Rattus norvegicus: one gene and its partners. The main gene of each other region encodes a partner of the protein of the gene in region 2 in a complex. Links are inferred from orthologs where the notes say so. Each region holds a gene or a part of one and is shown on either strand. Other genes may lie near its edges.

The links.
Region 1: Vamp7 (region 2) and Vti1b share a complex: the UniProt entries of both Homo sapiens proteins name them as parts of the SNARE complex. The link is inferred for Rattus norvegicus from reciprocal best matches to the Homo sapiens genes VAMP7 and VTI1B.
Region 3: Vamp7 (region 2) and Bet1l share a complex: the UniProt entries of both Homo sapiens proteins name them as parts of the SNARE complex. The link is inferred for Rattus norvegicus from reciprocal best matches to the Homo sapiens genes VAMP7 and BET1L.

What each region holds. Positions count from the first base shown.
Region 1 is NC_086024.1:103,706,850-103,710,598, forward strand, and holds the start of Vti1b (vesicle transport through interaction with t-SNAREs homolog 1B), read right to left. Parts: upstream 2,639-3,749; 5' UTR 2,316-2,638; coding exon 2,201-2,315; intron 1,676-2,200; exon of another isoform or gene 1,593-1,675; intron 1-1,592. UniProt on the Homo sapiens protein: V-SNARE that mediates vesicle transport pathways through interactions with t-SNAREs on the target membrane. These interactions are proposed to mediate aspects of the specificity of vesicle trafficking and to promote fusion of the lipid bilayers.
Region 2 is NC_086030.1:21,852,117-21,855,765, forward strand, and holds part of Vamp7 (vesicle-associated membrane protein 7), read left to right. Parts: intron 1-927; coding exon 928-985; intron 986-2,213; coding exon 2,214-2,351; intron 2,352-3,649. UniProt on the Homo sapiens protein: Involved in the targeting and/or fusion of transport vesicles to their target membrane during transport of proteins from the early endosome to the lysosome. Required for heterotypic fusion of late endosomes with lysosomes and homotypic lysosomal fusion.
Region 3 is NC_086019.1:205,362,149-205,365,897, forward strand, and holds the start of Bet1l (BET1-like protein), read right to left. Parts: upstream 2,559-3,749; 5' UTR 2,400-2,558; intron 1,755-2,399; 5' UTR 1,645-1,754; coding exon 1,626-1,644; intron 577-1,625; coding exon 485-576; intron 261-484; coding exon 204-260; intron 63-203; coding exon 1-62. Other genes in the region: Ric8a (synembryn-A), read left to right, coding at 2,879-2,962, 3,251-3,298, 3,388-3,749. UniProt on the Homo sapiens protein: Vesicle SNARE required for targeting and fusion of retrograde transport vesicles with the Golgi complex. Required for the integrity of the Golgi complex.

The DNA of each region.
Region 1 (3,749 bases), on a different chromosome or scaffold from region 2:
CATCCATACTGGACTTCACGCAAACTAAAATGGAAAACTGTCAATAACCTTATTATAAGGACACATGTCTACAGGTACCACAAAACCAAAACTTAAAACAATAACCATAAGCACTTAACATATTAATCAGATGACAAAATTCTATCACTTCTGAGGCTTTTGAGAAATCTCTTCAGAAGATGCAATGTCAAGATAAGAGATACCAGATGTAGGTGATGAAGACTATAAAAGTCTAATGATTTCCATACATGGTAAGACTGTTACTGCCACAAACCTCCTAGATTAGGACACACTGTGGCAGCGATCCCTCCAGGGCCACGAGAATACAGACTATACCTTGAGGAAATAAGTCTCTCTTTCACTTTGGGTGTTTTAACCAGTGTACACATCAATTTGAAGAGTAATGAATGTGAATAAAAGGGAGAGAAATAAATTATTCTGCTTCGATACCCAGCTATTTTCTTCTAAGAACTCATAGTACCTTTAACAACCAAAAATGGTTTTTACAGTAATTTAACAAATACAATATGTAGTATTTTTTTTTTTTTTGAAACAGAGTCTCACTGTATACTCTAGGCTGGCCTTGAACTCACTGAGATTTCCTGCCTCTGCCTCCCAAGTGCTAGGACTAAAGGCATGCACCACCACCCCAGACATATCTAGCAAATATTTATCAGATACCTAGGATGTGCTGGGTACTGTTCCTGGGAGTTTAGGTCATATGCTAAACAAGCAAGCAAAAATACTATTTCATTTCCAGTTTACTGGCTCTCACTTGGGAGGCAGAGGCAGGAGGATCTCTGAGTTTGAGGCCAGCCTGGTATACACAAGAGAAACCTTGTCTTGGAAAACAAACACAAACCCAAAAAGCAAAAACAAACAAATGAAATGGGCATCCTAAGAATAACTGTATAGAGAGCTAATATTTCTAAATAAAATAGCAAACATATTAATAATAGCTGGTAGCTCTTACTATTGTCAGACAGTAATTTTAAAGAGCTTTACATATCTCATTTACTCAAAAACCCCATTCAGTTAGATGCTATGTTTTACTTTATAGTAGAAACTAGTTTGGTTAAAATAACTTGCAAGATCACATAACTAATAAAAGGTATATATAACTTCTGGCTCTAGAATCTCTCTCTTTTTAAATAGAGTCTCAAGATGTAAAATCTAGCTGGTCTGGAAATCTCTGTGTTGCTGTGTACACCAGGCTGGCCTTGATCTCACAGAGATTCTCCTATTTGTACCTCCCAAGTGCTGAGATTAAAAGTGTTCACTACTGTTAATCTCTTAATTTTTACTGTATTTACTAGATTAATAAATTCTTCATAATGTTTTTAATGGCAGAAAAATATTTTGTCATGCTTGGTACAGAACACACTGTTATCTCTAATCTACAGGTAGACATTCTCATCTACAGCTCAAACGAGTTTGCGCCTCTTATTTAAGTTCATTCACTCAACTGATCACGTGAGAAAACACGGACCCTCTTCAATCTTTCTTCCTACTCATATCCACCAATCTCATAAATCTCTGCCTCGGAACCACCTGTTAGATTTAATGCTCACTCTCCAGATTCCCATGCTTACCTAGTCAACTGTCACGGAAGCTCCTAACACAGTCTCTTATAGCCATTCTCACATCCTCTATCCAGCTATCCGCCGCCTTGCTTCTAAAATGAAATCCACATTACTCAGCTGCTTATGTTCCTTACTGATTTACCCTATTACGTCAAAAATCTTAATGTGAGACATTCAGGTTCCTCTTTAAGTGGCTGTTTTACTCCCCTCACCTCCCACCACTGTCTTACCTATAAGCTTTACAACTATTTTTAAATTTTCATTGCCTACCAACCAAATTCCTACATCCCCAACCCCAAACTAAGTTTCTTTTTTTTTTATATATAAAAAAGTCGTCTTAACGAAACACAGGACCGTAGATTTAAGAACGCCCTATGCTGCTGGGAGAGGAGGAGAACTAAGAATTTGGGGGCTAGGACGTGGGAGGCTCGCTAGGAGACGACATCCTAATGTCGATCCCATTGCACGCCCCCAGTCACAAGAGGCTGCAGATCCTGGGCGCCCGGGGCTGGACAGCAGCAGGGGGCGTGCCCGAGTTGGAAGCCGGGAGCCCGGGATTGCGTTTGGGATCCCGCACCCTGCGGAGTTCTACCGGTCTGGTCCCGCCCCCGCCTCACCGGTCCCCGCGGTTCCCAGCAGCCGCTCCGGCACCCCTTGTAGATCTTCAAGGAGGCCGCGGAAGATCTCGTGCAGCTTCTCGAAATGCTCGGAGGAGGCGGCGGAAGTGGCCATAGTGCAGGTTGCTCGTGAGCTGCGGCCACTGAGACTCCGGGCGCTGGGCCCACTCCCACCTCAGGAATCAGCTACCCGGCCCCAAAGCCATCACCGCTGCCGCACCTCGGCCTCCCGGAATCAGGCGTTTCCGGGGTCCTCCGAGCCGGACGCCCTCCCCCCTGTTGTCACTGTGCGAGCGCCAAAGCCTGACAGAAAGCCAGGCGAGGACGACACCCGGCTACTATAGGGGCGCGGCCTGGCGCCAAGGCGAGCTGCTGTCTCCAACCTGGAGACAGGCAGTGGGCACAGGGGAGGTACCAAAGCGAAGAGCCCAAGGGAGCCCGCGGGACGGGCGCCTCGGACGCCTCATTCGGGCCCGCCGGTCCTGCAGTGCATGCTGGGGGTTGTAGTTAAGTGAGGAAGGGCGGCTGTGCAGGGAGGGCCTGGAGTGCCAGCCCTGTTGCGCAGCGACTGGATAGCACAAGTGCCTAGCTGTCATTGCACTTCATTCTGCCACCTGACTTCAGTTCAGTCTCAGCCCTAGATAGATAGAAGAGCAGAGGCTTGCCCTGCTCTTCTCGGATGGTAAAGCTCTATAACTGGGGAGATTAAGTGGCCAGGGTCACATGCTTTCAGAACAGGAAAATGAGCACTGTGCTCCCAGAATACACAAAGCTTTTAGGGGCTGAGCCAGTCCAGTCCATTAGGCTGCGCCGGGTTCTCATTCACAACAGGTTAAGAATAGCCATTTTGATAAGTTAAATATTGATCAAAATATCTTTGCCTTTGCCCTTGAGTAATGTATGATTTGGTGTGGAAAACAGACCCGTCTTACCATGTCTCTCTCTCTCTCTCTTTTTTTTTTTGGTTCTTTTTTTTTTCCGGAGCTGGGGACGGAACTCAGGGCCTTGCGCTTCCTAGGTAAGCGCTCTACCACTGAGCTAAATCCCCAGCCCCGTCTTAGCATGTCTTATCTGCCCTTACATAAAACATATTAACAATTATGAAGTCTTCTCTGTTCTTTCATAGGTATAAATTCCTATGTATACTGTTGGCAGGGTTTACACAAAGAGCCTACTCTCAAAAGTTTGCGTGGGAGCTCAGTATTTATACATGGAAATACACACACACACACACACACACACACACACACACACACACACATATGGCTGAGGATGTAGCTGAGGGTACACTTATCTAACATAAGCAAATCCTGTAATCCATCTTCCAAGGTATATGGTAAAGTGGGTTACTGGTGATTTTTGTCTTTGAGGCCCTAGGTTTACAAGCTTGAATCCATTGACCATTAAATTCAATGAAAAAAATTGTAAAATGCATTGTGCAAAGATAAAGTCTGATGTTGTTAGCAGTGGTGCAAACTCTTATATTTTTCTCATAAAATTCAAAGATAGGCCAAGAGTGGTGTTGCTTGATTTTAATCCCAGCACTTGG
Region 2 (3,649 bases):
CATTTTTCTCAAGGCAGTTTATCAAATTTTGTATAATACAGTCTCTACTTCCTTTCCCGCTGGCATCTGTCCAGGCAATTACTTTTTTCCGTATGTTCTGAACTTTCATCATGCGAACCGATTTTGCTTTCTGATATTTATGATGTGCTCTTTCAAATCCACATCCTTACAGTGCCTCATTCTGCACATTTGTATATTCTCGGCTGACCCCTTGCATGGCTGTTACTTATTCTTTAGGATTCAAATCATACATCACCTTTACCCTTTGTAAATGTCCTTACCTGCTTCCTCTACGCCCCTAGGGTACTATAGAATACCCTCAATTTCCTTATCAGTCCTCAATTCCAATTCTTAAAACCACAACGTATCAACTTATTTGCCGAACTGCATTGTAACTCCTTATACTATGATCCCAAAAAAGCAAGAACTGATGGTTTTACAATCCGTATCCTCATCATCCTGCACATTCGCTTGCTCAAAGCAGATGCTTGAATGCAGGACAAAAGCACAGAGAATTCGCTATCAAAGGTGTTGGCAGGGGGGAAAAAGCTAAACAAAACCAGAAAGGGGGGAAAAAAAACCTACGACCCCCTGGGAATTAATTTTAATTGTGTGTTCCTTCTAAGACGTCATCTCTCCTCTGGGCCTTAAGAATCCATTTGTTCTTTTCTAGCTGACATTTTAATGGTCGGCACACATGATTATATTCAAGAAAGAGAACTTTTTTTCATGTTTTATTCATTCCTGTGAGTTTAACTAAAGACAGAAATGCATGAGGAGGGGGGAAATGGAAACGGATTGTATTTGTAATCGCTATGGTGAAGTTTGACACACTGAACTGGCTTATACGTGGCCAGAACTTAGAACTAAAGCAGGTGATACTTAAAACCACAATACGTTTTCTGTCTTTTCTTCTTTCTTCCGCAGTTATTTGTTTCACTACATCTGCCAGGACAGGATTGTGTATCTTTGCATCACGGATGACGTAAGTAACCTGAAGATCTATTGCTGTTTCACTGTGTGTACGAATGTAGCCGATTATCAATCATCTCTACAGAAGGGTGGGTAACAGCGACACAAAAAGTACAGTTTTTTTCTTTGCTTTGCATTTGTTATAAAGAGAATCTTAGGACAAACACTGATACTAAAATGTATATAATTCAGCTCAGTTTTGATACTTTTTGCTCAATCACTCTGAATCTCTGTCAACAAACAGTGTGTTGAAATTGGCCTCCGTGGTGGTTATTTTTGTTTTCAGACCTTTTATTTTTTATATTTTTGTTTCAATAAAAGAAGAGAGCCACCCCGCCTCCCATTTTTAGGAGTCCACAAAACCAAGCGCTAACCAGTGTAACGTATATGCAGAGGACCTAGCAAGGTTAGCTAGATTTGGTTTAAACGAAGCGGAAACGACTTTCAATGACAGATTTCACGACAAAGTCCCGCGTTATCTGAAAGGACTGATGCGAAAACGTTGGGGTGGATGAAAATTGTCACAGAACTTCAAATGGTGTGTGTTGAGCGGCAAAATTCTTAAGCTGTGATTTCAGTCGTGAGCTGCCGGACCTGGGTGCTGGAACCAAACTCGGGTCTTCTCAAGGAGCGACTAGCACCTGTAACCACTGAGCCGTCTCTCCAGCCCTCAATCTATCTTACTTTTCTGGATTTATTGACTGTCTCCTGATGTCGGTTCTCACGGTCGATTATCTGAAGGGACTGGAAGGTCGGTTATCTGAAGGGACTGGAAGGATTAAAAGTCAGTCCATTATCATCAAGGCGGGAGCACGGCAGCCTCCAGGCAGGATGGTGCAGGAGGCGGTGTCAGTTCTCCGTTCTTCACCTGAAGGAAGCCAGGGACAGCCTGAGCACCCGCAGGCAGCTAGGAGGAGGGTCTCCATGCCCACCCAACAGTGACACACTTCCTCCAACAAGGCCACACCTTCTAATGGCGCCACGCCCAGGGCCGAGCTTATGCAAACCATGACCGGCTCTCAGCTTTGTAATTTACTAGCGGTTTGATTGATGGCAAGTTCGTTGTCTTTTGGAGTCTTTGGTTTCTGATCTACGAAACATGGTTAGGGTTAGGGTTAGGACTAGGGTTAGGACTAGGTCAGGGCCAGGATCAGGGTCAGGGGTCAGAGGTCAGGGTCATCAACCTCCCACATGTATGTGTTTAATTTGTAAATATGAGTACAATCTTGCTCATTCTGTAGGATTTCGAGCGTTCTCGGGCCTTCGGTTTTTTGAATGAAGTGAAGAAGAGGTTCCAGACCACATATGGCTCGAGAGCACAGACCGCACTTCCCTATGCCATGAACAGTGAGTTTTCGAGCGTTCTGGCTGCACAACTGGTAAGGTTTCTCTCAGGTTGTGGTGATTTAATTTATGTTATATTTATATTATTTATTATTATATTATTTATATTTTATTTTTCTTCTTTACAACCTTCACACATCGTGAATCCAGGGGCTCTGACCTGGAGAATGTAACATAAGAAAACTTTTATATTTTATATAAGAAAACTTTTATACTTTATATAATGCACCAGACATGTCACCTGGCCTTTTAACCTATATAGAAAACTTTTTCACATCCATGAAGCAAGTTGGATTTTTGAGGCTCAAATGAATCATGGGAAAATCTATTCATCTGCGTAACTTCCTCGTTGTCAACGGAATTGATGGTGTGTGTGTGTGTGCGTGTGTGTCTGTGTGTGTGTGTGTGTAACTCTGAAATGCTACCATAGTAAAGATAAAAAACCCTTTGATTCCCGTAAACTTTCCCCCATCTCCCTTCCTAGGAAGTCGCCAAAGCAAATATTTTTACCCAGCAAATCACTAATCTATATTTTACCTCTGTAGATTAGTTCTGTCTTTCTAGATTTTTTTTTTAAGTACAGTCAAAAAGTGGGTACCCTGATGGGTCTTTTACTGCTCTACCCATTTGTCTGTTGCTAGGTATTTGCGTTGCCATTAGTTTTTAACAATAATAAGTAAACCTCTGTGAATCTCAAGTCTTTGTGTGGACAAATGTTTTTATTTCTCTGGGAAATCGCTAGGGATGAAATTTCTGGGCCATATGGTGAGTGATAAGTAATTTAAAAATTTGTCGACTTCCTGTGTTTACCGGAAGTCCCACACCCGCGGATCCCGGCCCGCAGCAGCTCTCTGCTCCCAAACCCCGTGGGAGAGAGACCTCACCGCCTGATCAGGTGGGCACTCCTGAGGCTGCAGAGCGGAGGAGACCACCAACACTGCCCACCCCTGCCCACATCCCTGGCCCAAGAGGCAACTGTATAAGGCCTCTGGGCTCCCGTAGGGGAGGGCCCAGGGGCGGGAGGACCCCTGCGCCTGAGACACCGCCGGAACCTGAAGGAAACAGACCGGATAAACAGTTCTCTGCACCCAAATCCCGTGGGAGGGAGAGCTAAACCTTCAGAGAGGCGGACACGCCTGGGAAACCAGAAGAGACTGCACTCTGTGCACATCCAGACGCCAGAGGAAAACACCAAACGCCATCTGGAACCCTGGTGCACGGAGGCTCCCGGAAAGAGCGGCGCAGATCTTCCCGGTTGCTGACGCCGCGGAGAGGACTTAGGCAGTACCCCACGAGCAAACTTGAGCCTTGGAACCACAGGTAGGACCAACTT
Region 3 (3,749 bases), on a different chromosome or scaffold from region 2:
ACCGTGGAAAAGCGCTTCACACTCCCTGTGAGTAGGCCAGTCACACTTGTGAAATCTGAGTCCTGCGGGAGAGACCCAACGGGATCACATAGAGCTGGGATCTGTGACGGCCCAACTGTACTAGCGCTGAAGGGTTAGAGGCAGAAGAGCAGGCGGCATGGGGGTAGAGCTGACTATGATTTGTACGTAATACAGGCACTTACCATGCCATCTAGGTATCGGTTCTGGTCTTCCGTGTCCCTGTCGATGTCCAAAGCCAGCTGGTTGGGATACAGAAGGCACAGTCAAGCAAGGACACAGAGTGCAGTGCCCATCTTCCCTTCAGATTCTGCTAGGTACCTATTACTAGAAAAAGCTAAAAAGGCCAAGGTATTACCTGAAGCATTCCTCAGTCAGCACACCCACGGACAGCATGGCTTCCTTTCTACCCACTCAGCCCCACTCACCAAAGTGTCTCATGGAAGGGAAAAGGGCCACCACTAACCGATTTAAGCCTGGTGACCTTAGAGGCCAGGCTGTCAGCCATCCGCTTGTTCTCTCTGTCTAGAATCTCCTCCACAGCACCAGAACTCTGAGCTGCAAGACAAAGAGGCTGAAGGGTAGAATTCACTCATAAATGTGGTCCTTGGCTCCTTGCTCCAGTGGAGCCTGGCCTGGTGAGACCTCTAAGGGCATTCCACCCATATCCTTCTGCTCACTTAGCATGTTCCACCCTATGTTCCAACAGGTAGACCACCTACACACCAGACAGGAAGCATGGGTCATGGGAGTACTTGTGTGCAATGCCCAGGCAGAGACAGGGAACCAGCAGGTCAATCTACACTACCCTGTTGTATACTGTTCCTGGACCAAAATGAATATTGCCTTAGCTGAAATCACCATCTGAGAGTATGGGACAGGTCTCAATCTGGTAGGGATTATAGGGAAAACAGAACAGAACAACAAAGCAGGTGACAGGAAGGCTGTGTGGGGATGACTTAGGAATCAAGTCCAAGGTAAGTGTAAGAAAGGCCTTTTACTGTAGAAACTACCAATCCCTACTGCTACAACCCACACAGGATCTCTAGAAGCCCCAGAGCACTCTCCTGTGGAAACCTTACTCCGACGGACAGAGACTAGACATGAAGAATTTCTGTCACGGTATGTAGTTGAGAATCACCTGCCTAAGTGTGACTGGCACTGGTCTGAAGCATAAAAATCCAGCCTCGATATGACCCACCTAAGGGGAAAGCCAGCAGCACCAGCAAACAGGGGCGACCAGACTCTAAAAGACAGACGGCTGTGTCCTACCAACCACTACATAGTTAGTATAGTAGAAGCCTCAGTATCACAACTGTCAGACTGAACACAGGCACGGGGGCGGAGGGTGTGTGTGAAACGAGGCACTTGAGCCCTGTAAGTCCCTGCTTGGACCTTCTGCTTCCAGCCCTTGGCATCAACCATACACACAAACTGATGTCATGCCGGCTTGGGTTCCAAGGCAGTGCCAGTTGAAATCTGGCCCTGTTTTTCCTGGAATACGTAAGCGCCATCCCACGCAGATCCCTCCACCGAGGAAAAATTGATGGCTCGTACTCCAGACTTAGACCTTGCCTCCTATCCCAACTACCTTCAGGTGCGCTCACCTCGAGTCCAATCTGCCATCGCGCCTTCCGAGGTCCCACTCGGGGAGTAGGCAACACAGCGACGGACGTGGCACCACTACCTGGGTCTTCCGGTTCCGCCTCAGGTCTAATAACTTCCGGGAGAAGAGTCTGAAGCGGAAGAAACAGACTTGTAGTTCTACACTGGAATGTAAATAAGGGAAGGGCGGGCCGCCAGCATTCGGGCCTACGGATTGGTCAGCAGTATTAGTCCCGCGCTGTGGGTATTACCCGGAGCAGGAGCTCAGACCCCAACCTGGAGCCGAGGGTCGGGTACCTCGGGCGCTGCAAAGTCCCCAAGTGAGAACGACAGGATGGGGAGGACGAGCAGAAGCGAAAGAGACTGGCAAAGGACCTGACACTGAGTAGAGGCAAGCGCCGGTTAGCACAGCGGGCGGCATTATCCTCTGGAACATTGCTTGTGTCACCGTGGGGTGCACCGACTCTGCCTTAAGCTAAGTGGCATGCAGACCTGGCTCCCCACTATACAACGTTCCTACGCTTCTAACCCCAGACACGCCGCGGCTAGCCGCCCCTCCGTTGCTCCTCCCGCGGGAGTCGCTTTTCCACCGGTGTTCTTCACTTCCTTCTCTCCGATCCTTCCTCATACACTCTGCAATTGCCCTTTTCTTTTGATAACCACATTATTTTGGTGGTTTGGTTTTTTGATTGTTTTTAGATAGGTCTGCCCGTTTCTGCCTCTCGAGTGCTGAAATTTAAAAAAGCGTGCGTTACTATGCCCGGCTAACCACGTACATTATTTTGACCATCCAAGTCGTACTTCTCTTTCCTTATTTCCCGTGGAAGATGAGCATCAGGAAGATGACCGCGAGAATCGTCTTCCCCAACTGACTAAGCGGCCAGGAGCCGGCGCTCCCTCTTTTATCACAGTACGGGAACAAGAGTGTAAGGAGAAAGGTTTACGCGCCGGCCAAGCCACACCCCACTCCCCACCCCCGCCCGCCAGGAAGTCGGGCTAGAGAGAAGGGCTCAAAAGGAGGATACTGCTTAGTTAGCTAGCATCGCTGCTCCAAGACAAGCCGCTCAGCGGCCACAGCCGGGTTGCTCCACCTTAAGCCGGAGGCCAGCCCCGCGCCTGTACACACCCTAGGCTCGGCTGTTCTCCCAGCATTCCTCACGCGTGGACGCTGGGCTTCCGGACCTGGGCGGAGTCCCCGGGTTTGGCCGATTGCGTCTTCCCAGCCCAAGTCTTCTAGCACCCCGTGCCAGGGGCCATGGAGCCCCGGGCAGTTGCGGATGCCTTGGAGACGGGAGAGGAAGATGCGGTGACAGAAGCTCTGCGGTCGTTTAACCGAGAGGTGAGAGGCATCCAGCTGCCGAGGAAATTGCAGGAAGTGAGGAAGCAGCCGGTTGCTCGCCACTCGGCTGGGGTGTGCGTGCGAGTGTGGCAGGGAGCAGGGCGGTGGGTGGTGGGCTGGGCCACGGCGGTGCCTCTGTGGTAGTCAGGTGTATGGGTGGCGAGGGTGGGCCTTGCTTTACGTACACAGCGATGGCTGCTGCTTCAGAGGTAGAAGCAGACCTGCTGCTTCTCGAGGAGCACAGGTCCTACCTGCGTGTGGAACTGAGCTTCCTGGGTCTCCCTGCAGCATTCCCAGAGCTTCACCTTCGATGATGCACAGCAGGAGGACAGGAAGGTAGGTGTCAGCCCAAGGGGGTTCCTAGGGCAAGCACGGGCTGCCCCAAGAAGAGGGCCTAGTGGAACCATTTTTGTCCCTTCCCACAGAGACTCGCAAAGCTGCTGGTCTCCGTACTGGAGCAGGGCTTGTCACCAAAACACCGTGTCACCTGGCTGCAGACTATCCGAATCCTATCCCGAGACCGCAGCTGCCTGGACTCATTTGCTAGCCGCCAGAGTTTACACGCACTAGCCTGCTATGCCGACATTGCCATCTCAGAGGAGCCCATCCCACAGCCCCCAGACATGGATGTCCTCCTCGAGTCTCTCAAATGCCTGTGTAATCTTGTGCTCAGCAGTCCTACAGCACAGATGCTAGCAGCAGAGGCTCGACTGGTGGTGAGGCTAGCGGAACGTGTGGGACTGTACCGCAAAAGGAGCTATCCCCACGAAGTCCAGTTCTTTGACTT